3 linked regions of the Elephas maximus indicus genome follow. The protein of the gene in region 1 interacts with the protein of each later gene in a pairwise test. Links are inferred from orthologs where the notes say so. Each region holds a gene or a part of one and is shown in the gene's direction. Other genes may lie near its edges. The genes, in order: NMI, BRMS1 and GCSH.

The links.
Region 2: the proteins of NMI (region 1) and BRMS1 interact in binary tests that used the Homo sapiens proteins (3 or more experiments, as listed by UniProt). The link is inferred for Elephas maximus indicus from reciprocal best matches to the Homo sapiens genes NMI and BRMS1.
Region 3: the proteins of NMI (region 1) and GCSH interact in binary tests that used the Homo sapiens proteins (3 or more experiments, as listed by UniProt). The two-hybrid records come from large-scale screens. The link is inferred for Elephas maximus indicus from reciprocal best matches to the Homo sapiens genes NMI and GCSH.

The regions. Positions count from the first base shown.
Region 1 is NC_064824.1:48,470,828-48,481,338, reverse strand, and holds the start of NMI (N-myc-interactor), read left to right. Parts: upstream 1-6,207; coding exon 6,208-6,386; intron 6,387-10,511. UniProt on the Homo sapiens protein: Acts as a signaling pathway regulator involved in innate immune system response.
Region 2 is NC_064825.1:129,488,006-129,499,361, reverse strand, and holds the start of BRMS1 (breast cancer metastasis-suppressor 1), read left to right. Parts: upstream 1-7,182; 5' UTR 7,183-7,311; intron 7,312-10,481; 5' UTR 10,482-10,488; coding exon 10,489-10,627; intron 10,628-10,735; coding exon 10,736-10,826; intron 10,827-11,015; coding exon 11,016-11,143; intron 11,144-11,287; coding exon 11,288-11,356. Other genes in the region: B4GAT1 (beta-1,4-glucuronyltransferase 1), read left to right, coding at 4,687-5,742, 6,039-6,230. UniProt on the Homo sapiens protein: Transcriptional repressor. Down-regulates transcription activation by NF-kappa-B by promoting the deacetylation of RELA at 'Lys-310'. Promotes HDAC1 binding to promoter regions.
Region 3 is NC_064839.1:47,024,610-47,035,400, reverse strand, and holds the start of GCSH (glycine cleavage system H protein, mitochondrial), read left to right. Parts: upstream 1-6,041; 5' UTR 6,042-6,074; coding exon 6,075-6,222; intron 6,223-9,779; coding exon 9,780-9,859; intron 9,860-10,791. UniProt on the Homo sapiens protein: The glycine cleavage system catalyzes the degradation of glycine. The H protein (GCSH) shuttles the methylamine group of glycine from the P protein (GLDC) to the T protein (GCST).

The DNA.
Region 1 (10,511 bases):
CTTCATAGAAAACATACACTGATAGAATTGAAGGGAGATAGTACTATGAAAATAGTTGTAGACTTTAATACACCACTTTCAATATTGGACAGAACAGATATAAAGAAGATCAACAAAGAAACAGAGGGCCTGAATGACACTATAAACCAACTAGACTTAACAGGCATGTATAGAACACTCCACCCCAAATCAGCACAATCAGATTTTACTCCAGTGCACATGGATTATTCTCCAGGATAGACCACATTTTAGGTCACAAAGCAAGCCCTGATAAATTTAAAAAGATTGAAATTATACAAAGTATTTTTTTCTGACTACAGTGAAGTAAAGCTAGAAATTAATAACTGAAAAAAAAAAAAACCTGGAAAATACACAAACATATGGAAATTAGACAACACACTATTAAACTACCAATAGGCCAAAGAAGAAATCAAAAGAGAAGTCATAAATTTCTTAGAGTCAAATGAAAGCACAACATATCAAAACTTACGGGATGCAGTGAAGGCAGTACTCAGAGGGAAACTTATAGCAATAAATGCCTACATAAAAAAATAAGAAAGATATCAGATTAACAGCCTTACTTGACAACTCCAGTAACTAGAAAGAGAAGAGCAAACTAAGCCTAAATCTATCAGAAGAAAGGAAATAACAAAAATCAGAGCAGAAATAAATAAAATTGAAAACAATAGAATCAATAAAACTAGAAGTAGGTTCTTTTAAAAGATCAATAAAACTGACAAACTTTTATCTACAAAAGAAGAGAAATGGTGCAAATAACCAAAATAAAAAAACTAAAGAGGTGAAATTGTAACCGGCCAATAGAAATAAGGAAACTCTGGTGGCATAGTGGTTAAGTGCTACGGCTGCTAACCAAAATGTCGGCAGTTTGAATCCACCAGACGCTCCCTGGAAACTCTATGGGTCAGTTCTACTCTGTCCTCTAGGGTCGCTGTGAGTCGGAATCGACTCGATGGCAGTGGGTTTTTTTTTAATAGAAACAAAGAGAATTATGGCAGAATATTATGAACAACTGTATGGCAACAAAGTGGATAATCTAAATGAAATGGACAAATTGTTAGAAGGAAGCAACCTACCCAAACTGACTCAAGAAGAAATAGAAAGTCTCAACAGATCCATAACATGTGAAAGGATGGAGTCAGTGATCAAAAGCCTTTCAACAAAAAAAAAGCCCTGGACCAGATAGCTTCACTGGTGAATTCCACCAAACATATAGACAAGAAGTGACACCAATGCTGTTTAAACTCTTCCAAAAGATAGAGAAGGAATTAATATTCCCTAATTCATTCTATGAAGCAAACGTAGCCCTGATGCCCAAACCAGACAAAGACACCACAAGAAAACTACAGGCCAATATCTCTTATGAATATAGATGCAAAAATCCTCAACAAAATTCTAGTGAACAGAATATAAATGGTGTTTTCTTTCGAATGATCCACCTTATGAAGTACCATCTGAAGTACACCTATGTTTTTAGGGAATCAGAGGCAACTGAGGCACTGTCTGCTAATTGTTCTCCAGTATCTGTTCTCCCAAGGATCCCAGATAGAGCAAAGGTTAAGCACTTGGCTGTTAACTGAAAGGTCAGCAGTTTGAACCACCCAGTGGCTCCACAGGAAAAAAGACCTGGCGATCTGCTCCTGTAAAAATTATAGGCTAGGAAATCCCATGGAACAGTTTTACTGTGTTCTGTGGAGTAGCTAGGAGTCAGAATTGACTCATAGGAACAAGACAAAAACATCTGTTCTCCTGGATCCCTGGGTGGCACAAATGGTTTGCATTTGGCTGGTAACTGAAAAGTTGGAAGTTCAAACCCATCCAACAGCACTGCAGAATAAAAGGTTTCTGCAGAATAATTAGCTTCTGTAAAGATTACTGCCAAGAAAAGTCTGTGGAGCAGTTCTACTCTGTAATACGTGAGGTTGCCATGAGTCAGAATCGACAACAACACAAGATAACACATCTGTTCTCCTGTTATTTTTACTTATTTAGAACACAACATTATGCTTTAGGTGAACGTTTACATAGAAAACTAGTTTTCCAATCAAAGATTCTTATACAAATTTTTCCCTTACATTAATTACAGTCCCTGCAATGTGTCAGTACAATTCCCATTTCCTCCCTGGGATCCCCATTTCCCTCTCCCTCCCAGCCTTCTCATCTTTGACTTTGGTCAAATGTTGCCCTTTTGGTCTCATATAGTTGATTGTTCTAAGAGGCACATTCTTTACTGGTGTCTATATGAAGAAGAATGTGGTATCAAGGTTGGAGGAAGACCCATTAGCAACCTGCAATATGTAGATGACAAAACCTTGGTTGCTGAAAGTGAAGAGGACATGAGCACTTACTGATGAAGATTGAAGACTACAACCTTCAGTACGGATTACACCTCAACATAAAGAAAACAAAAAATCCTCACAACTGGACCAATAAACAACATCATGATGAACAGAAAAAATATTGAAGTTGTCAAAGATTTCACTTTACTTGACTCCATAATCAACGCCCATGGAAGCAGCAGTCAGGAAATCAAACGATGCATTGCATTGGGCAAATCTGCTGCAAAAAATATCTTTAAAATGTTAAAAAGCAAAGACGTCACCTTGAAGACTAAGGTGAACCTGACCCAAGCCATAGTATTTTTTAATCACCTCATATATCATGCAAAAAATGGACATTGAGTAAGGAAGACCAAAGAAAAACTGATGCCTTTGAATTATGGTAGTGGTGAAGAATATTGAATATACCATGGACTGCCAGAAGAATGAACAAATTTGTCTTGAAAGAAGTACAGCCAGAATGCTCCTTAGAAGGGAGGATGGTGAGAATCTGTCTCATGTACTTTTGTTAACAGGAGGGATCAGTCCCTGGAGAAGGACATCATGCTTGGTAAAGTAGGGGGGTCAGCAAAAAAGAGAAAGACCCCCAACGAGATGGATTGACACAATGACTGCAACCATGGGCTGGAACATAGCAATGATTGTGAGATGGCGCAGGACCAGGCAATGATTTGCTCTGTTCTACATAGGGTCGCTATGAGTAGGAACTGACTCATAGCACCTAATAACACCTAATGACAGTACCTAACAACAACATTATTTGGCTGAAAGGTGGCTTCTGGGAGTATCTTCAGTTCCAAGCTGGAAGGTGTTTTAAGGCAAAAGTCTCTTGGGTTCCTCCAGTCTGTTCTAGACCAATAAGTCTGGTCTTTTTTTCTTTTTTTTTTTAAATTTTGTTCTACATTTTTTACGCATTCTAACTGGGACATTCTATGTGATCCAGGTCAGAGTGGTTGTTGGTGGTAGCCAGTCATCATCTAGTTCTCCTGGTCTCAGGTCAGAGGAGGCTGTGGTTCCTGTGGGCCATTAGACCTTTGGACTAATTGCTTCCTTGAGTCTTCAGTGTTCTTTGTTCTCCTTTGCTCCAGGGAAATCTCCCACTCTTCTTAATGATGAAATGTTTGGGTGGGCATGAGGCTTGCCAAGTGATAGATTTCACTCCTACATCTAGGGATGGCTGTGACTAATTTCTGGCTGATAGAACGTAAGGAATAAAAGAAGGAATAGGTGAATGCAAATTCTGGAACGTAGAGATGAAAATGTGGGTGAAAGAGGCACCACAGAGATTGCAGAGCAATGTGATAGGAAGTCAGGATCCTTGACACTGTGGAGTTGCCACACCCTTATGCTTTTTTTATGCTTAGAATGTAATGTGGGAGAGAAGTTAACTTTAACTGCTATTTTGTTCAATTCACTCTTAGTACTTTTTGTTGTTGTTGTTTGATTACTTTGTTTTGTTTTACTGCCACCAAAGCTATACCTTAAATAATAGACAACAATATCTTATGTTGAGGAAGTCAAGAATTATGAGGACAGTGATAAAGAGGAAGGGTGAAAATGAAAGGAAGAAAGAAAAGAAATTGTTAAGTTTTTTCGCGTGAGTCATTTTTAACTTTCACTAATATAAAACATCATTCCTTGAAGATATTAAAAAAAAAATTTTTTTTATTCTCATTTTATTTTTAGAACCTTTTAAAGACCTTCTGCGTGCTATGTAACTTTGAATTTTGTTTTAATATAAAAAGGTTTGAGAAAAATAGTGTTATGTTCTATCCGGCAGTTGACAAATCTTAGGTTTATTTTGTTGTTAGTGAGAAAATGGAACTCCTTCCTTCTATCCCTGCATTTGAGTCAGAGATGATTTTATGCAAACTGATTACATTTTTTTAAAAAAATAGCTTTTCTCTGGTGATTCATCATCTTTTTCATTTATTCCTGCACCACGTGTAGGTTCTTGGGTTGGGAGAAGATGATGTTAGGATGATAATGTTTTATTTAACATTGACTGAAAGAGTTCAGAATGCTGATACTACAACTATTGCTTTTAAGAAATAAGAACAGAATACTCTTTAGAGGTTTATTTTTTTCTTTGTTCTTTATTATTTAATAGATGTCTAATTTACAAACAACAAAATATACAAATCTTAAGTGCTCAGTTCAATGAAATTTGATAATTGTATCCACCCATATGGCTACCAACCTAAAACAAGACATAGGAGACTTCCAGCACTTGAGAAAGTTCCCTCATGCTCCATTAAGTCAATATCCTTCATACCTCCAAAGGCAAGCACTGTGGATTTCTTTCATTGCAGATTACTTTTGCCTGTTTTTGGGTACAGATTATCTTTCTTTAGTCTGGAGCTTGCATTCTCTTAGCTGCTTCAGTTGTACATAGACCCACCATTCAATTTTTTTCCTTCTAAATGTTATTTTGTTGTTGTTGTTGAGAATATACACAGTAAAACATAAACCAATTCAACAGTTTCTACATGTACAATTTAGTGACACTGATTACATTCTTCGAGTTGTACAATCATTGACCTACCACTCATTTTGCTGGTAGTCTTCTTGGGCACAGGCTTTAAATAGCATGTAATTTCCTCTGCTTGGGCACCAGTAGATTGATAAACTTCACTTTTATTTAGTGCCCTATTCCTTCATTCTCTGCAACACCACCACTTAAGGTTAAAATATGTTTTTAAACTTTACTAAAGGGTTTGGTAGGTGACATACATTTGTCATTTGTGTACTCTGAATCTTTTGAACACTTTCTCTGTATCTTGATAGTCGTCCATGGTATAAATCCTTGCATCTCAGTGAAGAATCAGACAGAGCTTCCAGCTTCCCTGTTGTTATGGGCATATATGTGTTCATTTATCTGACTTGAATCTCAGCAGAGCCAGTGTTGTTTTCAGGCTGGGAGCTGTGTGGCCAACTTCTCAATAATGGCAGGTGCAGCAGCAGCCTATTTAGCATAGGGCTGAAGGGGTGTCTTAGTCATCTAGTGCTGCTATAACAGAAATATCACAAGTGGATGGCTTCAACAAAGGGAAGCCTACTCTCTCACAGTCCAGTAGACTAGAAGTCCAAATCCAGGGCGTCAGCTCCAGGGGAAGGCCCTCTCTCTCTGTCAGCTCTGGAGGCAGGTCCTTGTCATCAGTCCTCCCCTGGTCCGGGAGCATCCCAGCGCAAAAACCTCAGGTCCAAAGGATGCGCTCTGCTCCTGGCACTGCCCTCTTGGTGGCGTGAGGTTCCCACATCTTTCTGCTCACTTCTCTCTTTTATATCTCAAAAGAGATTGACTTAAAGACACCACCTAATCTTGTAGACTTCATCAGCATAACTGCCACTGATCCATCTTATTACATCATAGTGACAGGATTTACAACACATAAGGAAATTACATCAGAAGATAAAATGGTAGACAATCATACAACGGAATCATGACCTAGTCAAGTTGACAGATATTTTTGGGGGACACAATTCAATACATGACAAGGTTACCCATTTCTGTTAAGTTAATTCCGACTCACAGTAACACCACAGGACACAGTAGAACCGCCCCATGGGGCTTCCAAGGCTGTAAATCTTTACGGAAGTAGCCTGCCACACCTTCTCTTGTGGAGTGGCTAGTGGCTTCAAGCTGTTGACCTTTTCAGTTATCAGCTGAGCACTTAACCACTGTGCCACTAGGGCTCCTTGAATAAATCATGCTTCTCTGTGTCCTATCCCTATGTACTATGTCCTTGCCGCTCACTTCAAGAAATGAGTCTCCACTGTCTGGAATCTGGGTCAGCCTTGACCATGATGCTGTGATGACACCCTGACACACAGGCTAGCCTACTGAAGAATGACAGACCACATGGAAGACCAATGTTCCCCAGGCAACAGCCGGCACTATGGTCTCAGATATGCGAGCAAGACCATCTTGGATCTTCGAGTCCAGCCTGGCTTCGACTTGAATGCAGCTACAAGATCAGCAGCCCAGAGCCCAGATGGGGCCCACAGAACCATTCAGAATGCCAACCTGTAGAATCAGGAGAAAAAAAAATTATTATTTGAAGTTCCTAAACAATAATAGGCTGGTTTGTTACGCAGCAATAGATAACTGAAACAGAAATGTGGGTGCTGTTGCCACACAAATTTAAAGCATTGGGTTTGGATCAGGCAGCAGACTCAGGCTAGAAAGGAAGCAAGAAGACTACTAATGGAGGCTGGAAGAATAGTGAGGAAAATTGCTATGAAGGCTGGGAAAAGGGCAAAAGGTGCCACCATATAGTAGTGAAAACATGAGTGAAAATGTCACCTGCTATAACTTGGAATAAAACTGGAACTGGCTAATGAGAATATTGAAGGTGCCAAATGGCTTCTTTTAGCTGAATATGAAAAGGTATTGTAAAAGAGAGATGACCTAAAGAAGGAGCTATTCTCCTTGCAAGCAGAATAAAGAGGAAGTATGGACTACCCAGGGCTTGCTGGGTTGAAAAATACCACACTTTCTCACTCCTAGATTTTCTATAAGGCAAAAAAATTTCAAGGTAAGAAAGTGTAAAGACCAAATCAGGGGTGCCTACAAGATCCCTTGTTTAGAAAAAAAAAGCTGCAGTCCAGTCATTCCCACTCACGGCGACCCTTTGTGTGTCAGAGTAGAACTGTGCTCCATATGGTTTTCAATGCTGTTTTTTTTTTGGAATCAGATCACCAGGCCTCTCTTCTGAGGCACTTCTGGATGGACTTGAACCTTCAACCTTTTGTACCAGCTGAGCAGTTTAACCCCTTGTACCACCGAGGGACTCTTAAGACTCCTTGTTAAGATCTATGAAAAGTTTAAGATAATGTCTAGTAGAACCTCAGCTAGACAAATGGGCTTCTAAGACCCTTAAGGGTGTTGTCTCATTGTAGCTTCACATGAGGTCATAAGGAAGGAAAAAAGCATTTTCCTAAGTGGAGCCTATAATAAGTAGAGTCACTTCTTTCGTAATGCACATTATGTCCCAGGTCAATGTTAGTCCATTTTGTGTGTCTCTCCCCTCTGTCCCCTCCCCCCATCTCAGTCTACAATTTTTGGAGTAAGAAACAGCGTTGCCCCCTTTTTTTTTCTTTTGCCATTTTGAGTCACACATATCATTCCTAAACCAGTTGCGGTTGAGTTGATTCTGACTCATGGTGATCCCACAAGTGTCAGAGTAGAGCTGTACTCCATAGGGTTTTCAAAGCTGTGATTTTTTGGAAGTAGATAGCAAGGCAACTCTGGGTGAGTTCAAACTGCCAGCCTTTCAGTTAGTAATCAAGCACTTAAGTATCTGTGCCACCCAGGGACTCCTACACCATTCCGAGTTCTATGAAAATTCAATCAAAGCTTCGAAACTCAGGCTTGTAATATTTTTAGGCAAGGGACTTCCTTTCCCCCAGTCCGCAGTTTCCATGTTTATATTAGCCATCTATTGCTATTAAAAAAAAAAAAAAAATTACCATAAATTTAGCAGCTTCTGTGGGTCAAGAATTTGGAAATGCATATTTGTTAGGTGGTTCTGTCTCAGGTTCTCTCAAGAGGTCACAGTCAAGCTGATGGCCAGGACTGTAGTCATCTCAAAGCCTGACTAGGGCTGGGGAATCTGCTTCCAAGCTCACTCATGTGGTTTTGGCAGGCCTCAGTTTTTCACTGGTTGTTGAGTAGAGGCCTCCATTTCTTGCCAGGTGAGCTTTTTCATAGGCTGCCTGAGTATCATTACAACATGGCAGGTGGCTTCCTCTAGAGTGAAAGATCCAAGACAGAGAGCAAGCAAGGGAGGGAGCGCCCAAGTTGTATGCCACTATCTTTTATAACAATCTCAGAAGAAACAACCATTACTTCTGCTGTATGCTATTGGCCACACAGATCAATCCTGGTACAATGTGAGGGGGGCTCAATACAGGAGGGAATACCAAGGGGGAGGGGTCACTGAGCACCATATTAGAGGCTGGCTACCACAGTTATGTGTGTGATTTTTTTTCTCTAGTTACATTTATCTATCTTCATTATTGACCATCGAAGATTAGTTGTGGACTCTTGGGTTCTTATTCTTCTTCATTCCTACACCTGAAACTCCCTAATCCAACATAAATGCAGATCACTGTTTTCTGTGACACTGGGCACTGCTAAAACGGGAGAACAATCATGACGTTTGGTGCCACTAGAAATTTCTGATCTCCATTTTTTTTTTTTTTTATGTTAAGTTGGCCCCCATTGTTCTTCAATAAAACTTTTATACTCGTAAAAATCCGTTGCTGTTGAGTTGATTCCAATTCATAGCAACCCTATAGGACAGAGTAGAAACGCCCCATAGGGTTTCCAAGGAGCAGCCGGTGGATTCCAACTGCTGAACTTTTTTTTGTTTAGCAGCCATAGCTCTTAACCATTGCACCACCAGGGCTTCAACTTTTACACAGCTCTGTTAAGTTTCTTTTATTAATTTCTGTCCTACAAGTATTCTAAACTTTTTTTTTTTCCTCATTACTGTGGGGTGTTACTGCATCTAGGCCGTCTCAGCGGACAGAGCTAGGATCTAAGCTTTTTCTATTTTTCTTTTTCTACCCTGGTCCCTGCGTGAGGACTTTCTTCTAAAAAATTATGAACGAACGTCCTTGCTAATGATTTCTGTAGCAATTATTACGTATCTGAATGCATCAGTGAGTTTAATATATGACTCAGTGCTCCCAGTGAACAAAATTTTGTTACAAGCTGCATCATTGAATCTCAGTAATTATAAAATTAACATTTTTCGAGTGGAGAAACCTGATTTGCCAAACATCACCACGTTTAACATAAACAGCATATTTCATTAAGTCAGGCTTGTAAACGTGGCCCAAGGCAGCAGCTGAATCTGGCTTTCACATATGTCTTGTCTGGCCACCACAATGATTTAAAATTTTTGGAATGTGAATGTCTTTAGGCAATGTATAGTCTAGCTTGCCCCAGAACCTATGGCCTAATGCAAGGCTGCCAATCCAGATGTTTTTCTATCTACCTGGCTAGTGACACTATAGGAGTTTAGAGCCTTTTGCTTTAAATGGATCTCAGCTTGCCTTTTACTTTTAAAAAGGAGTTTAATTTATTTCGATATTCCTCATTTTAGAGAAAAGGTGCCCCTCCTCTGTCCCAAGCTAATCCTTTTTCCTCTGTCCCGGAGAGATCTCATCCCTTGTTACTTTGTCCAAAACTCTGCTCTGTCAATTTCTTCTCCACGTCTGCATACTACCAGTTGTCTTTGACTTGATTCTGACTCAGGGCGACCCATGTGTTCAAAGTAGAACTGTGCTCCACAGGGTTTTCTGGGGATGGTTTTTCAGAAGTAGATCACCAGGATTTTCTTTCAAGGTGCCTCTGAGTAGACTCAAACCACCAATCTTTCAGTTTGCAGCTTCAGCTGAGAGCCTTTATTGTTCACACTACTCGGGATAACATGATCTAAGTTATGTTTTTAAAAGATCTTTTTGAACTCTGTACAGAGAATAATTGTAGTGGGGAAAGAGGAGTAGCAGAACCATCTGTAAGGAGGCCGTTGCCATTGTCCAGGGAGAATTGATAGTGGCAGGGATGGGGGTGGTGGCAATGGAGAAAGGGAAGGCGTGCTAATTTGAGATTGTTTTGGAGGTTTGCTGTGGGATGGGATGAACTGAATGAGGGAATAAGGGCTTTAATGGATAAGGTGATGAATCCAAGTCCTTCATTTACCTTTGTTATCTGGAATTTAGTGCTAAGTATTAATGGAGCCCTGGTGGTGCAGTGGTTAAGAGCTCAGCTGATAATCAAAAGGTTGGTGGCTCAAAGCCTCCAGGCACTCTGTGGGAGAGAGGTGTGGCAGTCTGCTTCCATAAAGATTTATAGCCTTGGAAACTCTACGAGGCAGTTCTACTCTGTCCTATAGGGTCACTATGAGTAGGAATCAACTCGAGGATAATAGGTTTGGTTTATTAATCAAGGGAGAAAAGGGTATGGAAGGAAATTCAAAATCTTGCCTATGGCTATCGAACTATATGTAAAGCTGAAGAGTGTTATCTTTGGACCAAGGCTGTCCTTGGGTATATTGAGCATTTCCTTGAGAAGGGGAGTATATAGGCTACCAATATATAATAATCAGTAATACTCAGTGTCATCATTAGGGGAACGCAGGG
Region 2 (11,356 bases), on another chromosome or scaffold:
TTGTTCATTCTTCCGGCACACATGGTATATGCAGTATTCTTCACCAACACCAGAATTTAAAGGCATCAATTCTTTTTCAGTCTTTGTCCAGGTTTCTTCAGATTCTTCAGTCATTGTCCAGACTTCGCATGCATATGAAGCTATTGAAAATACCATGGCTTGGGTCAGGACCACCTTAGCCCTCTAAGTGACATCCTTGTTTTTCAACACTTTAAAGAGTTCTTTTGCAGATTTACCAAATGCAATATGTTATCTGGTTTCTCGACTGCTGCTTCCATGGGTGTTGATTGTGGACCCAAGTAAAATGAAATCCTTAACAACTTCAATATTTTCTCTGTTTGTCATGACGTTACTTATTGGTCTAGTTGTAAGGTTTTTTTTTTTTAATGCTGAGGTATAATCCATCCTGAAGGCTGTAGTCTTTGATTTTCATCAGTAAATGCTTCAAGTCCTCTTCACTTTCAGCAAGCAACGTTGTGTCATCTGCATAACGCAGGTTGTTAATGAGTCTTCCTCCAATCCTGATGCCCCGCTCTTCTACATATAGTCCCACTTGTCGGAGTATTTGCTCAGCATAGAGACCAATTAAGTATCGTGAAAGGATACAACCCTGATGCACACCTTTTCTGACTTTAAACCATGAAGTATCCCCTTGTTCTGTTCCAACAACTGCCTCTTGGTCTATGTACAGGTTCCTCATGAGCACATTTAAGTGTTCTGGAATTCCCCTTCTTTGCAATATTCTCCATAATTTATTGTGACCCACACAGTCGAATGCCTTTGCAGAGCCAATAGACACAGGTAAACATCCTTCTGGCACTCTTGCTTTCAGCCAGGATCCATCTGACATCAGAACGATATCCCTCGTTCCACATCCTTTACTGAATGCGGCTTGAACTCCTGGCAGTTCCTTGTCAATGTCCCGCTGCAGTCATTTTTGAATCATCTTCAGCAAAATTTTACTTGGGTGTGAAATTGATATTCTTCAATAATTTCTGCATTCGACTAGAACACCTTTCTTTGGGATGGGCACAAATATAGATCTCTTCCAGTCATTTGGCCAGGTAGCTGTCTTCCACATTTCTTGGCACAGATGAGTGAGCACCTCCAGTGTTGTATCTATTTGTTGAAACATCTCAGTTGGTATTCCGTCAATTCCTGGACCCTTGTTCTCTGTCCATGCCTTCGGTGCAGCCTGTTCTGGTGTACATAGGGTCGCAGTGAGTCAGAACCAACTTAATGGCACCTAACACCAACAAAAACAATTTCATGCTATGTGAATTTTACCTCAAATTTTTAAAAAAGATATTATAAAACAAAAAGAGAGAAAGAAGGAGAGAGACTACTTATCCTGCTTAAGTCCATGCAAAGTCAGATTCCAACTTCAGAGCCCATACTCTGCCTGCCCTGCTGCCAAGAAAAGTCTCTCCAGAGACCCCAGGGTGTCTTAAGGGAAGTCAAGCATTAACTTGTTTGGTTCAGACGAGAATTCAGTCCTTCCCCCACTTGAAGACAGAGGACTCCCTCCAGACTGAGGTGGTTCTGAAGGTTTTAGAGGGTTAGGAGCTCCAGAGCCAGGCTATGAGGGCCATGTTGCATGTAGAGAGATTGAGGAGGAAGACAGCATTATGGGAGGAGGGAGAAGAGCATGGGGCAGTGTTAAGGGTTGAATTGTGTCCTCCAAAAACGTGTGTTGGAATCCATGTGGAAAGGAGCCCTGGTGATGCAACGGTTAAGCACTCTGCTGCTAACCCAAAGGTTGGTGGTTCAAACTCACCCAGTGGCTGCCCAGGAAAAAGGCCTGGTGATCTGCTCCATAAAGGCTTACAACCAAGAAAACCCTCTGGGACACTTCTACTCTGTCACACAAGGTCACTATGAGTCGAAAATCTACTGGATGACATCCAACAACAACATCCCAGGGGATGTAATCTCATTTGACAGTAGGGTTTCTTTGTTATGTTAATGGGGTCATACCATTTTTAGGGTGTTTCTTAAGCCAATCATTTTTGGCATATGAAAGAAACAGATTAGGCACAGAAGACAGCAAGTAGAGGTGGGAAGATAGATGTCACATCACAAGAACAACAAGCAACTGTGGAGCAGAGGCTGAAAAGAGACAAGGACCTTCCACCGGAGGTGACAGAGAGAGAAGGCCTTCCCCAACAGCCGGCACCCTGAATTTGGACTTCTAGCCTCCTAAACTGTGAGAAATAAATTTTTGTTTCTTAAAGCCACCCATTTGTGGTATTTCTGTTATAGCAGCACCAGATAACTAAGACAGGTAGGTCCACTGTGAGGTCACGAGTTGAGACTGACTCGAAGACACCTAAGAACAACAAAGCCCTTGACCTGGGCAGGCATATAATAGGATCTCAGGAAATCACGAAGGCGCCCTGGTGGTGCAGTGGTTAAGCCCTCAGCTGCTAATCAAAAGATTGGCAGTCTGAACCCACCAGCTGCTCCGAGGGAGGAAGATGTGGCAGTCTGCTTCCGTGAAGATTACAGCCTTGGAAATCCTATGGGACAGCTCTACCCTGTCCTATAGGTTCACTATGAGTTGGAATCGACTCAACAGCAATGTGTTTGGTTTTTGTTTTTTTTGGGCGGGGGGCGGCTCAGGAAACCTCAGCTCATTATCCTTCACCTTGGTGAAAGTCAAGTGTCTGGGAAACTGTCTTCTACCCCTGGTGGTCCTACAGCTAAGTGCTCCTTTGCTAATCGAGAGGGGGGATGCCTGGGAAAATCTTATCCATCAAGGCAGTAAATGGGTATTGAGTGCTACCATGAAACACAAATGCTCAAGGGTCCAGGCAGACAGGGAAGTGCCAGGCTTGAGAATTTGGTAAGGAAAAGACTGTTTACAAAGGTGGAGCTCTGGACAATTGTCACCTTGCAGAACTGCAGGCCTGGCATTGCCAGATCTTCCAGGATTTTAAATCCAGAAGTTGGAAATGTGCATTTTCCGTGAAATCTTCTGACTCCCGAAAGTTAACAACTAATGTGATTCAAACTGTTATTTTTAAACACTGATCAGGCCAAAGAAAACCCATATGGGCACCACATCCAGCCCCTGAATCTCCAGTGTGCAAGGCCTGTGCTGGCAAGATCTGTGCTCACCTTTCTCCTCTCTCTTGCCACAGGTACCAGTGAAAACTCTCAAGGACAGGAGCTGTCCCATCTCAGGTGCCTAACACAGCCCCTGGCAGGGAGCAGATGTCAAGTAGGTATTATCTCACTGGGCTGCAGAATATAGGTCTCCTGGCCACTCCTCATCTCGACAATCTTCACTGACTCCCTGCTGCCTGTGGAATAGCTGGCAAACACCTCGTACTGATATTTCAGGCCCTCCCCCGTCTGTTCCAATGCACCTTCTGAAGATTCACAGCCCTTTGTCCTATATGGGAGCCCTGGCTCGGGCCGCAAAGGCCATGTGTCTAGTACATAATTATTTACATAATCGATTTGGCCTTTCAGGTCAGACCCTTCCCCACAGCCTCTTCTCTTCTAAAGATTCCATGTATCAATGAATCCACAAACGTTTATTATAGGATTTCTGGGAGAAGGGAGAGGAGACGGAGGAGTAGGCGGAATCAGTAGGCGACATAGAGTAATAATTTAAATGATCAAATATCCTTCCTAGCAAACTTCCACTCCTTCAGACAGGAGGGAACTTCTCCAATTCCTGCAGATAACACACTGAGCCTCAAGTTAGCATCGGCCAGAATCCTGGTTCTGTTCTTCTAAGTGCCACCAACTTCCGGAACCTCTTTCTAGAGAGAAAAAAAATCACACCTTTGACCGCTCCCCAGTAGGTTCAGAGACCTGGAGTGGGCAGACGCGGGAGCAGAAGTGGGAGACGCACGGCCGGCCAACAAAGAGGAGAGGGAGCCCCAGGGTAGCGCCAAGCGCAGCTCAACTCTTTTCAACTTCCTGCTTTAGACTGGTAAGATGTAGAAAATTAAGAATCACGTCTTTCGTAAAACGCGACCGACGAGGATGGGATTCGAACCCACGCGTGCAAAGCACAATGGATTAGCAGTCCATCGCCTTAACCACTCGGCCACCTCGTCCCCTACAGTGTGGCTCTCTCCACATTCTCTTATCACCCTTCTTCTCCGCGTTCTCCGAGTCCCTTCTACCCATTCTCCAGCGTAGACCCCTTAGGCTATCTACGATAAGGAGACACGGCAGAAATAAACGTTTTTTTTTGTTTTTTTTTTTCCTTTCCGCCCGCCGCAGCCGGGAATCCGGGCCATCCCTCACCAAGCTGCTGCAGAACTCTGCCACGGTTTCCCCTCCCTGACTCGGGGGCGAGCCCATCGAGGTTTCAGGACGCGCTGGGTTCAGGGGTCGCGCACGGTGGGGAGTGAGGGGGCGCGTGTCCCGGAGGACCCCTGGCGGGCCGGGAGGCGGTGGGGCGGCCGGAGCGGCAGGGGCGGCAGCAGTGGCACCGCGATCAGGAAGACTCAGTTTGCAAAGCGCGCGGACGCGGTGGCTCCTCCTCCGTCTCCGGGGCGGGCGCGCGGCCGAGGCCCGGCTGTGGGCGGTGGGCGGGGCTGCCAGGCTCGGCTGGACTCGGTTCGCCTCGGCTGCGCTCGGCACGCTGCAGTAAATCCCGGCTCCCCGCGGCCGGCAGACGCTGCGGTCGGTGGTCCCTGCTACGCACTCTGAGCCCCGAGAGCCATGCAGATGCCCTACGCCATCCGGTGCGCCTTCTACCAGCTGCTTCTGGCCGCCCTCATGCTCGTGGCGATGCTGCAGCTGCTCTACCTGTCGCTGCTGTCTGGGCTGCACGGACAGGAGGAACAAGACCAGTATTTCGAGTTCTTCCCCCCGTCCCCGAGGTCCGTGGACCAGGTCAAGGCGCAGCTCCGCACCGCGCTGGCTTCGGGAGGCGTCCTGGACGCCAGCGGTGACTACCGCATCTACAGGAGCCTGCTGAAGACCACCATGGATCCCAACGATGTGATCCTGGCCACGCACGCCAGCGTGGACAACCTGCTGCACCTGTCCGGCCTCCTGGAGCGCTGGGAGGGCCCTATGTCTGTGTCGGTGTTCGCGGCCACCAAGGAGGAGGCGCAGCTGGCCACGGTGCTGGCTTATGCGCTGAGCAGCCACTGCCCCGACATGCGCTCCAGGGTCGCCATGCACCTGGTGTGTCCCTCGCGCTACGAGGCCGCCGTGCCCGATCCCCGGGAGCCCGGGGAGTTTGCCCTTCTGCGCTCCTGCCAGGAGGTCTTTGACAAGCTAGCCAGGGTGGCCCAACCCGGGATCAATTACGCGCTGGGCACCAACGTCTCCTACCCCAATAACCTGCTGAGAAATCTGGCTCGCGAGGGGGCCAACTACGCTCTGGTGATCGACGTGGACATGGTGCCCAGCGAGGGGCTGTGGAGAGGCCTACGGGAGCTGCTGGATCAGAGCAGACAGTGGGCGGGCACGGCGCTGGTGGTGCCTGCCTTCGAGATCCGTCGAGCCCGCCGCATGCCGGTCAGTAAGACGGAGCTGGTGCAGCTCTACCAGGTGGGCGAGGTGCGCCCCTTCTATTATGGGCTGTGCACGCCCTGCCAGGCGCCCACCAACTACTCCCGCTGGGTCAACTTGCCAGAAGAGAGCCTGCTGAGGCCTTCCTACGTGGTGCCCTGGCAGGACCCCTGGGAGCCATTCTATGTGGCTGGAGGCAAGGTGCCCCCCTTTGACGAGCGCTTTCGGCAGTACGGCTTCAATCGCATCAGTCAGGTGCCCATAAGGGGAAGGCAGGGGAGGGGGGGTTGGGGAGGGGGAGACGGAGGAGGTGGAGGGGAGGAGGGGGGAAAAGGGATGGGCGAGGGGAGTAGGTCAGGGAGATACGAGGAGTGGCCCAGTGTGGAACTGAGGCAGGGAGGCCGGGTAAGATCCCAGGTCAGGAAATGGTTGGGTGGTGTGGAAAATCCAGATGCTTCCAGAAGGTTGGGGTGCTAGAGTCTGGCTTTAGGGGTGTCGATCTGGGCCCCAGGAACGTCTCTCACTTTGCTGACCTGTCTCTCACTCCACAGGCCTGTGAGCTGCACATGGCAGGGTTCAATTTCGAGGTTTTGAACGAAGGTTTCTTAGTTCATAAGGGCTTCAAGGAAGCTTTGAAGTTCCATCCCCAAAAGGAGGCTGAAAATCAGCGCAATAAGGTCCTGTACCGCCAGTTCAGACAGGAGTTGAAGACCAAGTACCCCAACTCCCCACGCCGCTGCTGAGCCCTTCCTTCCCCCGGTCTGAGAAGTTTCAGCCTCCTGACTCCTCGGGCCGCCCCTTAGGCCTGACTGGGGTAAGAAACGTCACTCCACTTTGCAGAGGGAGCTGTGGTGTTGCAACACTGGACTTGAATATGGGGTGCTAGGATCAAGTCCTAGCTTTACCACTAACTAGCTGTGTGGCCTTGAGCAAATCCCTTTACCTCTCTGAGCCTCAGTTACTCTGTCTGTAAAAAGGGAGGTGAGAATGCCTACCTCACAGAACTGTTGGGAGGCTCAGATGAGCTGTCTATGAAAACATTCTGTAAGCTTCGTACAAATGTGAAGTATTATTAATATTATTACAGTATTATTATTGTTGTTATCACTATTGTTATTAACAACCGGGGGTGTGTGAGTGGTAGGAAAGCAAAAAATGTGAATGGGACAGGGTTGAAAGTTCAGAGACATGGGGGTACTTAACGACTGGGGCTTTCTGGAAAGAAATCAGATGAAGGTGTGGAATTTGGTTCTTAGCTTTTGGGCAGAAGCCTTAACAACTCCAGCGCCTCCACCCTTGGGGGCTCTGAAGGAGGGAAGGGTCTGAAGGCTTGATGGCGATAATCCGAAAAAATCTGTACCCTCGAATAGGCTGGTGCTGGGTATTTGCCTACTGATGACAACGTGTAAATAAATGAGTGTTCACACCCACAGCTGGTTCCGTTTCTCTCCGAAGCTGGAGGGAGGGGGGCCCTGGTTTCAGCCCTTGGACGCCGGGGGCGGTTGCTGCGCACCGAAGGGCGTGGGCAGCGAAGCGAGGAAACCACGGGGGCCTTTGCCGCAGGCCGAAGCCTAATGGGAACCTCCACCGGTTGCCATGGAGACCGGCCCGCGGTATCCCAGCATGCCTCTCCCCAGCCATCCAATTGTGAGCTCTCCGGCGGGCGCCCCGAGATGACGCACACGGAAGCGCGGCGAGGCCCCGCCTCCCTGAAAAGAGGGACCTGCGCAGCGCTTCCGGGAGCCTGGCGCCGCGGCAGGTACCGGCACCCTTGGGCGCCTCTCAGGGAGACCCGGACTTGAGGCCAGGGAGCCCCCCCCCGCGGTGCGTATCGCCCCCCCCAGCCGCTGGTTGGGTCTCTCTGGGCTAGTCGGGCGCGTCCTGCCCAACCTTCTTCTCGGGGCAGAAGCGGAGACTTAACGGGCTGGACGCGTGCGGGGCCGCGGGGCCGCGGGGCCGAAGCCGGCTGCGGGGGAGCCCGCGATTCTCCCGCCCGCGCCGGTGCAACCGGAGATGAGACGAGGCCGAGCCTCCTGGGCGCGGCGAAAGGGGCCAAAGTGGGGAGGGGCCCGCCTTCCAGGGAGGCTGCCTTCCTGGAGTTCAGAGTCGGAGAAGATAGATGGCATGCCCACCGCACTTCTCAGTTTGCTTTTCCATCCCTTAACCCTTGCCAGCTTTACAACAGTCAGAGCAGGAACGGTTATCCCCGTTTTGCACACACGTAAGAAGAGGAAGTTGTGACTTAATTTACTGCTCAGTAAAATTAGAGTTAGCTGGAGGAGACACACATACACACACCCCCTCTTTTTCTGATCCGGAAAGCCTTCTGGAAGCTGTAGGACTTAGGCTGAGACTTACGGTGAAGAGGAATTGCAGATGGAGGGAACTGCAGGAACTGAAAGAGCCCTGGTGGCGCAGTGAGACTTGGAAGTGGGAAAGATGAGAGGCTGGTTTGGAGACCCGAGAAGTGGAGGAATGAACCTTCATGTCTGCTAAGGTTTTCAGGTTCGAATCCATGGTGAAATCATTGAGGAATGTGACTAAACTCTCCCCTAGGCCAGGCATTTGCCACAACTTGAATAGGTGTCAACCAGAGTTAACAGACACTTTGGGTTTGATTTCACTGCAAGGACCTGAAGCTACCAAGAAGTAAAAACCAACCTTTGACCTGCAAGAGTTTGTTTTGTTTACTTATATTTCCCAGTCCTTTATCAAGGGAGCCAGTACTGGGCTAGTTGACTAAGATGTGTTTGTAGCCCCTGCCCTGGGGAGGCACACAGAGTGGCTGGGGAGACAGAAGGAAAATGAGCAAACAGAAGGGAGATGCAAAGAAGGCTTCGTGGAGGGAGTGGAGTCTACACCAATCTAAAGGGCTGCAGAGCAGTGGCCAGCGAAGCTAGAAGAGGAGCTTAGTAAAGTAGAAGCCCCCAGGAGGCAGTGAGATTCTCTGCTGGAAGGGTGGTTAAATCCCCCCCTTAGGGGCTCTCTTGGCAGGATTAGACACTGTTGTTGGCCACTTCTTCTAAAATGTTCTCTGGCCATAGCTTTGGGGTTTTTCTTTTCTGCCTCTCCCTAATTTCCTTCTCCTTTGCGGGAGTCTCCTCAGCAGCCCTTTGGTGACCCTGGGAGTTTCATCATGGACCCCTTCTCCACACTTTCTGCTTTGGTGCCATACCTTCTCCCATGGCCTGAACAACTCACTCTATGATAGTGACCAGATCTCTGTACGGCCCAGATTTCTCTCTGAGGCTTAGACCCAGGTCCCCAACCCTCCCCCACTCCCTTCTCTCATTTCTGTATCCTTACACATGCTACTCGCTCTACCTGGAATGTTCCCTCCTGTGCTAGTCAGTTCATCCATCTGCTGTGTCTCCCCTGGCAGCCCTCACTGCTGCCCCAAGCTCCTGGTCTTAGAGGCCCCTCCCCTGTGCCCCCAGGCTTAACTCTTCTCGCACCGTGGTAGTGGTCTGCTGCTTTGCCTCTTCTCCCAGGAACGTGTAAGTTCCTGGAGATAAATACTGCCTGCCTGCCCCAGGAATTCCCCTGTACCTGCCATAGTGCCTGGCAGCACCTAGCATATATTAAGTGTTCAATAAATATTCAGTGAGGGAATACAAGGACTGCTTGGCTGTGTCTGATGTTGCTGAGAAATCAATTAAGATAGCCCCCAAAAATACTGGCAGTAGCCACAAGGAGGTTGTCGGTTAACTCAGTGGGATCCGTTTCAGCAGAGAGTGATGGGTGCAGGACCAGATGGGAGCAAATGGAAGGTGAGGAAGCAGGAAGGGCAAGTGTATACAAGGCCTTGAAAGTGGAGCTGTGGCGTGGAAAGCAGTGAAGCGGAATAGGGTGAGGTTTGGTTTGTGTTTTCGCATTTTCTTAATGGTGGAAAACACCTGAGCACATCTACGGTTTCATGGGAAGGAGCCTGCCAAGGAGAGTTGAAGCTACAGAAGAGAGGGGAGTACTGATGATGTGGGGTCCCAGAGGAAGCAGAAAATGAGAAGTGAGAGAAGGGATGGGGGGAGGGAAGGGGACCTGGGTCTAAGCCCCGGTGAAATCGCCCGCACAGAGATCTGGTCACCATCACAGGGCGAGTTGTTCAGGCCATGGAAGAGGGTGCAAACACCAAGGCAGACAGTGTGGAGTGAGAAGGGGTACATGCTGGAACTCCCAGCGTCACCAAAGGGGCTGCTGAGATACAGCCTTTGAGGAGATCTCTGCAAAGGAGAAGGAAATAACTGAGCAGAGCACGAAGACAGAGAAATGTAGAAAGCTATCAGGAAGAGAAGAGGAGTGCACGATGGGCAGAGGAGGAGGGAGAACGTGGTGTCTTTGAGGACTCACCAGTGCATGGTTGGGGCCAAGGAGCTGGGTGGGTGGTTTAGTCCAGTCTGGGAAGGGCCTTGAAAGCCTCCACTAGAAGTTTAAGCCGAGTCCCATAGGCAGGGGGAGCCCTCGGGGGCTTCTGAAAGGGAAAGAGCGCTCACGCAGAGCCCTGCTGGTTCCTGGCCTCTTGAAGAACTTACCTCGTCCTCATACCACTTCCACAGGGAGGTCACAGGCAGAGCAACTGTGGATCCTCAGGGCCACACTTACTGTTGTACCTGCAGTGTTTTCCACCTCCCTATGCCTGCTCTCATAGTGCCATCACAGCCCACCCAGCCTTTTCTGGGGGTGGGACGTTTGGGTGGTAACGCCTCGTGTCGTTGGCCTTTCCCGTTCTGTGAACTGGTGCTTGGCCAGTTCGCCCAGGATTGGGATCGCCAACGGGGTCAGAGGGCATGAGCGTTTCCATGGCTCCCACGCTCCTGGGGGAGATGTGCACCCGGAGCCATTTGCTCCCTTTCACCCAGCATGCGTCAGGGTGGCGAGGACAGTCACCTCCCTGCTGTCCCCTCTAATTGAGGGTCAGGCTGGGCTCGACTCCCTGCTCGGCCACTCAGCTCTGTACCATGGCCAGTGTTGAGTGATGGCTCCACCTGTTCTCCCAGAGCACAAATGCCCGTCCAGCCCCCAAGCAAGGACACAGAAGAGATGGAAGCAGAGGGCGACTCAGCGGCCGAGATGAACGGGGAGGAGGAAGAGAGTGAGGAGGAACGGAGTGGCAGTCAGACAGAGTCTGAGGAGGAGAGCTCCGGTGAGTGTACACACACATGTGCACACACACTTGTACACACCAATGCGCACGCACACGTGGTACCCGCCCGCTCCTCGTCAGAGGCCCTGACTGGCCTCTTGTCCCCAGAGATGGATGATGAGGACTATGAGCGACGTCGCAGCGAGTGCGTCAGTGAGATGCTAGACCTGGAGAAGCAGTTCTCGGAGCTGAAGGAGAAGTGAGCGGGCACACCTAGGGCTGGTCTTCACGGTCCTGGGGGAGGAGGCAGTAGGCTGGGTGTTGGCGGGCGGCTGAGGTCCAGAGTGAGTGAGCACCTGACCAGGGCCTGCCACGGAGCTGGGGCCCTGCGTGTATCTGCCCAAGAGCACAACGGACCGACAAGTTGGGGCTGCCTTTCACCTCCCAGGTTGTTTAGGGAGCGACTGAGCCAGCTGCGGTGGCGGCTGGAGGAAGTGGGAGCTGAGAGAGCCCCCGAGTACACGGAGCCTCTGGGGGGGCTGCAACGGAGCCTCAAGATTCGCATTCAGGTGGCAGGTGTGTGGGCTGTCCCGTGTCCTGGGGTCAGGCCCCAGTCACCCCTTGTGTCCCCCTCCTCATCCCTGCCTGCCCTGTACTCCCAGCCCTCCTCGGATACCTCAACCGCTGCCTTAGGGGGGCCCCCTTCTCCCTCTTCCACAGGCATCTACAAGGGCTTCTGTCTGGACGTGATCAGGAATAAGTATGAGTGTGAGCTGCAGGGAGCCAAGC
Region 3 (10,791 bases), on another chromosome or scaffold:
CCCTCTTGAGAGAACCACCTGGACTCTCAGCCCTAAGGGCAGAAGGGAACCTTCCTGGTTGCAGGCTCGGCCCAGCTCCAGGAACCAGTTTTCCCCTCTGAGGCTGCCTAGTGGGGGTGGTGGCAGATAGGACCCTGGGGCACCAAGGGATGACTGGCTTTCCTCCTGGCAGGTTCTGGACGATAGCCCAGTGCTTGGCTCCTTCCTGGTTGGGTCCTGCATTGTGTTCATGACATTCGTGGTATTGAATCTATTTATCTCTGTTATCCTGGTGGCCTTCAGTGAGGAGCAAAAATATCATCAGGTGAGTCCCTTTGGCCTGTTCTTCAATAGTCAAAGACCTTGAACTGGCTGAAGTCATTCTAGTGGTGCCCAGGAATGGGGCAGAGGTTTGCAGGGGTGGAGGGTGGGAGGGGAGATAGCTCTTCCTCTGAGCATTCCTTCACTCTCACCTGAACAGAGCTTTCTGGATATTTAAACACTTGTCGTTAGCTGCCATCCAGTTGGTCTTTGACTCAATGGTGACTCCACGTCCAGTGGAATGAAATGGTGCTCAGTCCTGTGCCATCCCCATAATTGGTTGTGGATTGGACTATTTCGGTCCAGAGGGGTTTTGGAAGTAGATCGCCAAGCCTTTCTTCCTAGTTCGTCTTAGTCTGGAAGCTCTGCTGATACCTGTTCAGCATCACAGCAAGATGCAAGCCTACACTGACAGACAAGTGGTGACTGCCCATGAGGTGCACTGGCCGGGAAAAGAGCCTACGTCTCCCCCATGGAAGGCGAGAATTCTACCACTGAACCTCCACTGCCTCACTTCAACACAAGTGGGTTTAAATAGACAGTGTAGCTCAAAGCCCTCATTTCATAGGAGGGAAGCCTGAGGCCCAGAGGAGGAAATAATTTAAGACAACAAGCAAGTGAAAGCAGAGCTGAGACTAGAACCTGGGCCTCCTATCCAATGCAGAACTCTGTTCACTACACAGTGATTCTCAGCGATTGCATGTTAGAATCACTTGGGAGCTTTTGGCAACTACTGCTGCTCCTGCCACACCAGAGACCAACAAAAACAGAATCTTTGGGAGTGTGATTCAGACACAGGTATTTAAAAAAAAATCATTGCACATGTAAAAAATGGTTGAAATAGCAAATATTTTGTTACCTATATTTTACCACAATTTAAAAAAAAAAAGGTTTGTATGCTGCAAGTGCTGCTTAAGTTCATGTTCAGTAACAGCTGAGGCTTTCTCAGTTCTAACTTGGAAATTTAAAATGCTGCCAGGAAACCATGGCATCTTCAGTGGAGAGAAAGAGGAAATCCATTGGGGATAAAGGAGGATGTATACCCTTTAGAAATCCTTGGGTGGTACAAATGGCCAGTGCACTGGGCTGCTAAATGAAAGGTTGGGGGTTTGAGTCCACTCAGAGGTGCCTCGGAAGAAAGGCCTGGCAACCTGCTTACAGAAAAATTGAAAACCCTATGGAGTACAGTTCTACTCTGACACACATGGGATCTCCGTGAGTCACAGTCAACTCAATTGCAACTCTTGGGATTCCCAGAGGAAGGTCAATCCCAACATAAAAGCAACTCTAAAACATAAAGTGACTTACGCTGTGACCACACCAGACATTAAACCATGGTTTCCCCTCAGAATGAAAAGCCTCCAAACAGGATGGTTCTATAAACGGTGCATGGTTCTTTCTCTCCTGCAGCTGTCAGAGGAAGGAGAGATTGCTGATTTGCTGCTGATGAAAATACTCAGTTTCCTGGGCATTAGATGTAAAAGAGAGGCGCCTCAAAGCAGCACTGAGAAGTCTGGGGAGCTGACAGAAGCTGGGCCCCCTCAACCAGCACACGCTGCGCCTAAGGTTTAAGCACATCGGTCATCTACATCGGAATGCGCAGAGCCCGGGGCCTACGTTTACCACCAACTCCATAATCTCTCCAGGTCGATGTTTTTCTGTGTCCACAGAAGAGTTACCAAGCCCATCATGTAATAAATAAATATATCAACACAAAACATGCACACATATATAAAATTGCAATGACTGTGAGAGTCTGTATTTCTGTAAGAGTCAAATGTATTTCCTCCTAGAAATAAAACAAATACTGTCTAGAATTAGTGGTAAAAAAAATCTTCTCTACAAACTAATTATTTCCCCTTCTTGGTTGGTCAGGAGTTACCTTTGAAAGACTCTGATTCAGGGTTTCTCAAACTGTGTCTGAGAGGTGCTAATAAGTGTCACATACCAAAAGGTATCTGAATCAAGATAACATGAGAAACATCAAGTTAAATGAGGCTACAGGAATTCTTTAGCATGAGAACTGTCAGAACTTTAAACACTCCCTCCTGGGATGAGTATGGGGAGTCCTGATGGTGTCGTGGTTAAGTGCTTGGCTGCTAACCAAAAAGATTGGCAGTTCAAACCCACTTGACGTTCCGCAGGAGAAAAATGTGTCGGTCTGCTTCTGTAAAGATTTACAGCCTTGAGGTCCCCAGGGTTGAGAAGGGGAGAGTGTTGACATGTCACGGGGATGGCACCCAACACCACAAAACAATATGTGTATTAATTAATGAGAAACTAGTTTGCTCTGTAAACCTTTATCTAAAGCACACACACACATACATACACACAAAAAGATTTATAACCTTGGAAACCCTGTGGGGCACTTCCACTCTGTTCTAGAGGGTCACAGTGAGTTGGACTCAACTTTGATGGCAATGGGTTTGGCTTAGTTTTTTTTGGAGATTAGCATGAGAGGAAAAGTGTGTCTCATCCCCAGACTTCTCTGGCCAGGGAATCAGGTCTTAAAGCATCTCACTCAGGGCTGGTGTTCTTTAGATGAACTCTGAAAACTGGTGATCTACACAAGTGGTTTTCAACTCTGGCTGCACACTAGAATCCCCAGGTTTCATCCCGATACATCAGTATCTCCGGGCTGGGACCAATAAATTGATAGTTTTTTAAGCTCCCCAGCTGATTCAAACGTGAGAGCCACTGCACTAAATGGTAACCCATGACTCTTGCCGACACGTGGCTTAGGGTAGGCATGTGACCCAGTTCTGGCCCATGAAAAATGAGAGAGCTCTCTAGGGGGCTTCTGGAAAATGTCTCCTTCCCAATAAAAAGAGACACGTAGTGACGGGCTCTTACATTGTCTTGTCTGGGTACAATGCCTGAACCTTTGGCAGCTACCTTGAGACCATGGGGAAGCAATCTGAAGATGGCAGAGATGAGAAATGAGAGGAAACTGGTACTTGATTGTTGTCATTGTTGCTAGCTCCATCGAGTTGGCCTCCAACTCATGGCAACCCCATGCACAATGGAAAGAAACACTGCCCCGTCCTGCACAATACCCATGATCAGTTGTGGATCAGACTGTTGTGATCCATAGGATTTTCACTGGCTGATTTTTGGGTGCTTGGTAAGGTCTTTAAACAGTTGACATAATCAGTCCTATAACTGAACAACTGCCAGTCTTCTAGCTGGATAAGATCACAAATGTCTTTTAATGACAGTTGATCATGATCCCACACTACCACACCCTACAACCTGATAACCAAAACCCACAAACCTACAGGCCCAGGATTCTTTATAAACATAGACCCATGTAACATATACACAAAGCCTTGGGAGATTTAATCAACTTCTCTGCATCCAAATGCCCATCATCCATTCTTTACTGTATCAGGTAAGAACATGAGCTATGTATACAGAGATGCTCACCAAATAACCCATTTTGAGGGGTACACATATCTCCTGACAGACTGGTACACAAGCTCACTCTGATACATACAGTGTATTTGTTTTAAATAGGGAAAGTGCTAACTCATATCTCAAGAAGTTATAAGTTCTTCACCTCTTCCTTCCCTCTTTCTCTTCTACTCTCTACTTCCCCGTTGACTGTAAATATCAAACTAGCAACTCCTTTCAGTGTTATTGTTATAAGAGAGAAAAAAAAAAACAGCTCAAAGAGATGAGCTGGCTCCTTCTGAGACACCTGGAAGAAGTGACCAAATGCAACCTGTAGGTGCCTATATCAAATGTGCAATGAGAAGATCTTTCAAACTCAAGCTATGGATGATGTTACAAGGATTACCAGGTTGAAGAGGGAAAAAAAAAGAATTTCTGACTATCCTCAATGCTCATTAAATAAAAAACATGACACAGTTCTTTTTTTTTTTTTTTTTGCGGAAGGGTCTGTAATGTAGCCTACAGATTTATATGTGGTCTTGTTCTTTCCACCAAATGAGCTGGTGGAGTTGGGAATAAATATTTATTTTAGGGCATAGGTTACATTATGCTACATTGACTTGCATGATATCAAAGCAACAATAAAATCAGAATATTGATTATTATAGAAGCTAGCCAAGATCAGGAGTTTAGACCAGTGTGAACCAGTCAGCATCCCAAAAGGAGGGAAGTATTACATACCTTAAGGGCATTCGCTTGTGAATCTGTCAAGCTACTGGTCAAATCCCACCTCTGCCACCTACTGGCTGCTTAAGCTATAAAATACTTTCTCCATCACATTCCTGGGCAAGTTACTCAACCTTTCTGCCTCACCTATGAAATCAGAGTAATACCTACCACAAAGGGGTTTGGACAGGATTAAAAAATAATGTTTGCACAGTGACTAGCACATAGTTGTTGTTGGTGCCTTGGAGTTGATTCCAACTCACAGTGACCCCATCTGTGCAGAGTAGAACTGCTCCACAGAGTTCTCAAGGCTGTGACCTTTTGAAGCCCACTGCCAGACCTGTCTTCCAAGTTGCTTCTAGATGGGTTAGAACCACCAATCTTTCTGCTAGTAATCGAGTGCTTAACTGTTTGCGCCACCCAGTAAGAACTCAATACATGGCTGTTATTTACTCACAGGAAACGAAGATGATAGTGTTTGCAAGCCACTCCACAGATGTGGTCACCATCCCTTGTTTATATATTGGGCAGAAGCTCAGTACAAGAGCACATGGCCCCCTCAAACACGCACACACACACTTCAAGGTGCCCACCTGTGATGTTGACAGTGCAGCACTTGAGGTCTGTTTTTCACTGAGGTGTTTCTTTGCTGACTCATGCCCAGTTCCTAGAATCTGTGCTGGCAGCTTGTCTCCTTGAGTGGGGGCAATGACTTCTGCTTTTCTTGGAAGGCCTTGATTGCTGTGCTAGTCACTTAAGCAAAGCACTGTCCACGATGGGTCTTAACCCTCTGCTTCTGGACACTCCTGCAGTAGCTGACTGGCTGTGGTTCAGTCTTCACCAAGAAGTCACTTTTGACCCTAAGACAAGTCCTTTCCCTCTGTGATCTTCACGATTCTGTCTGTCCCCTGTTTAGGGTGTGTGAGCACATTGCAGTCTGTTAAGTAATAAAGGGGGTTCCAGGACTATTTTCAGTTTTTCAAAGGTCTAAAACAAACTTAGACTTCTTTTAGACTAGAAGTGTGAGCGCGGCTTTGGCCAACTCCCAAAACCCATCTCTGAGCTGCAATGATTCTGGTTGGACCTATGAATCCTGCTCTGGGTGACCCTGATCCTCTGTTGAAGGTGGGGACTGCATCCTTTAACAGGACTGGAGGGGCCCTGACTTCCCCAGGACCCAGGGCTCAACGGCTCGGCATCGCGCAGGAGTGGCCCAGCCACTCCGCCTTGAGCCTTTCTCACCGCAGGTGCGGAGCCCTTAAAGCACACGGAGCCCCGAGCTGCTGACTAAGCACTTCCTACTTGCCCAGGGTGGCCCTAGGCCAGGGCCCCGCCCCTGGACGCTAAGCCCCGCCCCGAGCGGCCTCGCCCGGCCCCCCGTCTCGCGCTTGCCCCGCCCCCCGCCCGTCGCCTCACCCGGGCCTCAGGCCCCGCCCCATGTGCACGGCCCCCCGCACATCGCCCTATCCGGGACCGCTCCCGGCCCCGGAGTCCGCGCCCCTCGCGTACGGACCTATCGGCCTCAGCCCGCCGGGTCCCGCCCCGCGCGGCGATCCAGCCGGCTCGTTCCAGCCAGGGGCCGCGTCGCCCCGCCCCGCCCCGCCCCGCCGCCGGGAGCCTGAGTCCTGCGCCGCGACCCTGCGCACTCTGCGAACATGGCGCTGCAAGCGGCCCGGGGCGTGCGGGCCGCAGCCTGCAGCCTGCGCGCGCTCTCGGCGCCCTGCGCTCTCTGCCCGCCCCGGCCCTGGGGGCCCAGGCCCGGCGACGTGCGGACGCTGCGCACGGGCCGCGCTCTGCTCTCGGGTAAGCGCGGGCGGGGGCGGGCTCCGCGGGACCTACGGCCGCACGTGGGCTGCCGGGCAGGCTTGGAGGGGCCGGGAGGAGCGATGGGGAGCTGGTCGCGCCCGGCTCACGTTGTTTCCACGCTGTTGCCTAGTGCGGGGATCCCCAGAGTTAGGCGGCCGGCGCCTCTCCTCAACTCGACGTGGGAAGGCACAGTCCACCTTTGTGCTTTGGGTTGGGTGGAGGCGGACCACACTGGAGCCCGGCGGGCAGAGGCGCCTAGTCCGACTCGGGCAGGTGAGCCGGCCGCTCGCCGCCAGCGACCAGGACCCCGCACCGCTACGCTCCGAGGTGACGGTAGTTCCTCTCGCATTGTTTGTGTGCATCCTGAGAACCTGGACGTGGAAACACTGGAGACTTAGTTCACTAAAGGAACCAGACATGACAACTCTGAGCAAAGTTAAAGCAAAAACAGCAAAATCAAAGCACTGGATCCAGAGTTTTGCTAGCTAAAGCGAGCATAACGTTCTAGACGCCACTGTTTCCTAAAGAATAGGCTAAAGTCGGCTGGACTCTACCGAAGACGTTCTGCTGAAGTCTTACTGAGTCGGTGCTGTCTGTTGGGGCTGAAATGAGGCCTAGCTTAAACGGACTTGAACTAACGGGGGAGACTCGCCTGTCGGTGTTTTTGCACCAGTGCTACTTGTGCACAGTTATCACAGGGAAAAAACAATTTTACTTTATGCCCAAATATTCGTGACACTCATCACGCCTTATAAGGCTTCTTAGGAGGCCTATATCTGTGATGGCTGTTTTCTCATTAACTGATTGTTTTAGAAATTCATTTGGGACTAAAAGAGTTGACATTTATTCCAAACACGGAAGCATGAAGATTAGCTCCCCATTCCCTCAACTATGTGATGTGTATCAATGCATTACCAATTTGAATACAAGGGTAAAACATTTCTAAGATAAAAACTGAATTTAAGCCTGCTTTTTTTGTTAACGTTACATTATCTCTAGCTGTTTGCATTTTCTACTTATCTAGTTAAATATTGCCCCAAACATCAATACCCTTTATTTGGTTAAGCACCTAAGGTTTTTTTTTTTGTTTGTTTAGTTTCAGAATGATTTCAGACTTAAAAAGTTACAAGAATACAAAGAACTGTCATAATTGAAAATTCATTCAACAATCATTAACATTTTGCGTCATCTGTTTTTCTCTCTTGATAGATATACCCATACAAACCACACACATCATGATCTTTTATCCTTAAATATTCAGTGAATCTTAAGAACAAGGATATTCTCTTACATAACTGCAGTTATGTTGTCAAGGTTAAAAATGTAGCATTGGTTTCTTATCTAATATAGCCCATACTCAGGTACTGCTAATTACTCCAATAATGTTCATTGTGGCAAACCCCCTCCACATCTAGATCAAACCCAGCGTTATCCATTCCTTTAAAAAAGAACGAAACAACAAAAACTAAAAAGAACGAAACAACAAAAACTCAAACCTGTTGCTGTCGAGTCGATTCCAACTTATAATGACCTATAGGACAGAGTAGAACTGCCCCATGGAGTTTCCAAGGAGCACATCGTGAATTTGAACTGCCAACCTTTTGGTTAGCAGCCATAGCTCTTAACCACTGTACTACCAGAGTCTCCCAACACCCCCCCCCCCAAAAAAGCACCTTGGTTTTTAATAGCTAGACCCAGCACTAGTTCTAGTTCTACCTCTTAGGAGATATGGGATTTTGGACACATCACTTAACTTCTAGAGCCTCAGTTTCTCTTCACTAGAAAAATGGAGGTGATAATACCTACCTCACAGAGTTGATGGGAGGATGAAATGAAATGATGTAACTGCTGTACGTATAGCTTGAGACACGGGCACTTGATAAATATTTCTTGTTATTAAACGGTAGTATAAGGCATATAATAGTAAAAAATTCTTATCAATGTTAATATAAAACATTTTATCTGACCAGTGACTTTGGAAGAAAATGTAAAAATTTCATAAATCATTCAAAACTAATTTTCTGAAGCCAAGAACCGTATATTTCAAAGTGTGGTAAGGAAGTAATAATTAACCTCATCTCCTATCTACTTTTTTTCCCTGGTGGACCAAGGCTTAAAGGAGAATTGAACTAATCATTTTCTTAGCCTGAATAGCATGATGTAGTAAAAAGACTAAGGACTTTGAAGTCCAGTGGGACTGGGCGCATTTTAGCTTAGTAATGTTCCTGCCTTTTCCTCTAACCTTGTCACTCAGTTACTAAATTGAGTGTCAGAACAACCCTACTCCTTAATGTTATGTTTGCAGTTAGGCAAGATGGCAAAGCCAAAGTCAAGAGAGTAGACTTCGATGGGTTAGCTGTTTACAATTGTCCGGCCCTTGCTTTAAAACGACATTAGTGTTCAGTTGCTCATAACTGGTAATACAGTTAACCAGTTCTAGAGTTGTAGCGGAGTTCCTGGGTGGTGCGAATGATTAATGTACTTGGCTGCTGACTGAATGGTTGGAGGTTTAAGCCCACCCAGATACTCCTTGGGAGAAAGGCCAGGTGATCTACTTTGAAAAAAATCAGCCATTGAAAACATGGTGCGCGGTTTTCTGACACACATGAGGTTACTGTGAGTTGGAACTGACTTGGTGGCAACTGTTTAGAGTTGGAACTGACTTGGTGGCAACTGTTTAGAGTTGTAACAGAATGATAGGGAGAACTGTGTGTTACAGCTGAACAACCATAATAGGTATTTTGCTCAGAATCCCCTTTACCTGACAAATTAAAAAAAAAAAAAATTATTTCATTCCTTCAGCTTTTGAATGCCTACCATGTGCCAAGCACTGTATTTAGAACTAGGAATACAAATGGAAATGAGTTAGAATCTGGTCTTGCTCACACTGTACTTATAGTCTACTTCGTGAAAGAAACTGATAGATGGACTATTTCAATGCAGTGTGTTAAGTACAACTCTAGATGGGCGGTGAGTGTTCTGATTTTACAGCTTGCTTCTTTAAATGATGGTAGCCATTCTCTTCAAGGGCAGATTAGATTAAAATAATATTTAAGAATTTTGTCAGTTTCATTCCTGTGAAATTGCACTTTATAACCCAGTTGCAGTGAACCTCTCTTAGGTCTGTTCTACCTAAAGAAGCACATTTGCCTTTTATACGCAAAACTGCATCACTCCAAGTCTGTTGTCAGACGGGAGAGTTGTTTGAGAAACCATGTTTCTGTAAGAGAGACCAATAATAAGTACATATCTGAAATGTGCTCCATTTTTGTGTGTGTGTGGGTGGGGGGTGATTTAGACTAAGAAATGTTAGAGCAAATAATCAAATCTCCAGATGGTGTACAAATCACGCTGTTTTTGCTTAACATATCAGTGTTGAGATTTGCTCTTTTCACGTGATCTCGGTTGCTTCCTGGGCAGTGTGCTCTTTAAAGTCAACATCAATAAGTCAAACACAAATATTGGGAAAGTCTTGCCTTTTGACAACACTGATGGGAAAAGTGTTTTAAGAAGCGATGCCACTGCTTTTCTGAAATATTGGTCTTCTCTTTTAGTGCGTAAATTCACAGACAAACATGAATGGGTAACAACAGAAAATGGTATTGGAACAGTGGGAATCAGCAATTTTGCACAGGTATTGAATTGTCTTGAGATATTTGTGACAGTCTGCTCTTGTTAAATTGGATTGTCTCTAACTTTTAACATTTTGTTTATTCTGCCTTTACCACTTCTGGCCCTTTTCCCATGAAGGGCCCTTAGGATAAAAAGCAATCACAGGTGAAACAAGTAAAATCAAATTAGTTAGGTAAATGTGTGGTGTTTTAAAGGATGTTTAAAGGTTGACACTTAAAATTAAGGTAGGGGACGTACTTTATTCATAAATGTTTGTTTCATATGGGGGCAGTTACGGAAGGGCGAAGAAAAACAACAAGCAAAGGACTAGGGTGTTGACAGTCTTTTGTGGGTGTGGTGATACACACATGACCAGGGGGACATGAAGAAGAGGAAAAACCTAGATTGGCACAGGTTACACAAAGCCAATTATATATTCTATCTTTTCTTTATTAATTTCCCTATTCCCACTGACGCCATATTGAGATATTTAAAAGAAAATTAGAAACAAATAGCAGCAAAGTTTAAAAATTGGATTTTCCACTGGATGTATGTTTGGTGGGGCAGGGAAAGGGAACGGGATATTACTGACAGTACTATGTGTATAATATTCCTCAGATATGTTGGATTATTAGGACTTGAGACACTGATGTCTTCATTGTCATATTTATGTACCTATGTACCAGTATAAGGTGTTTTGTGACGCATTTTATAAGATGTGGTCCTTGCCTTTCTGGAATTTATCCCTGAGGGGGTAAAAGAGTCATCTGCATGGAAAACAACATACAAAACATTACATGATAAATAGCACATGAGTAGTACAGGGGGCTGTATGTAATTCTTTTACCTGAGGGAGAAATCATGTCTTATTGGAGTCGAGGTCTTAAGGAAGTACGAGGCACAAGGAAGGACTAGGTTTTGTAAAATCAGCGAATAGGATTTCAGCAGATTGAG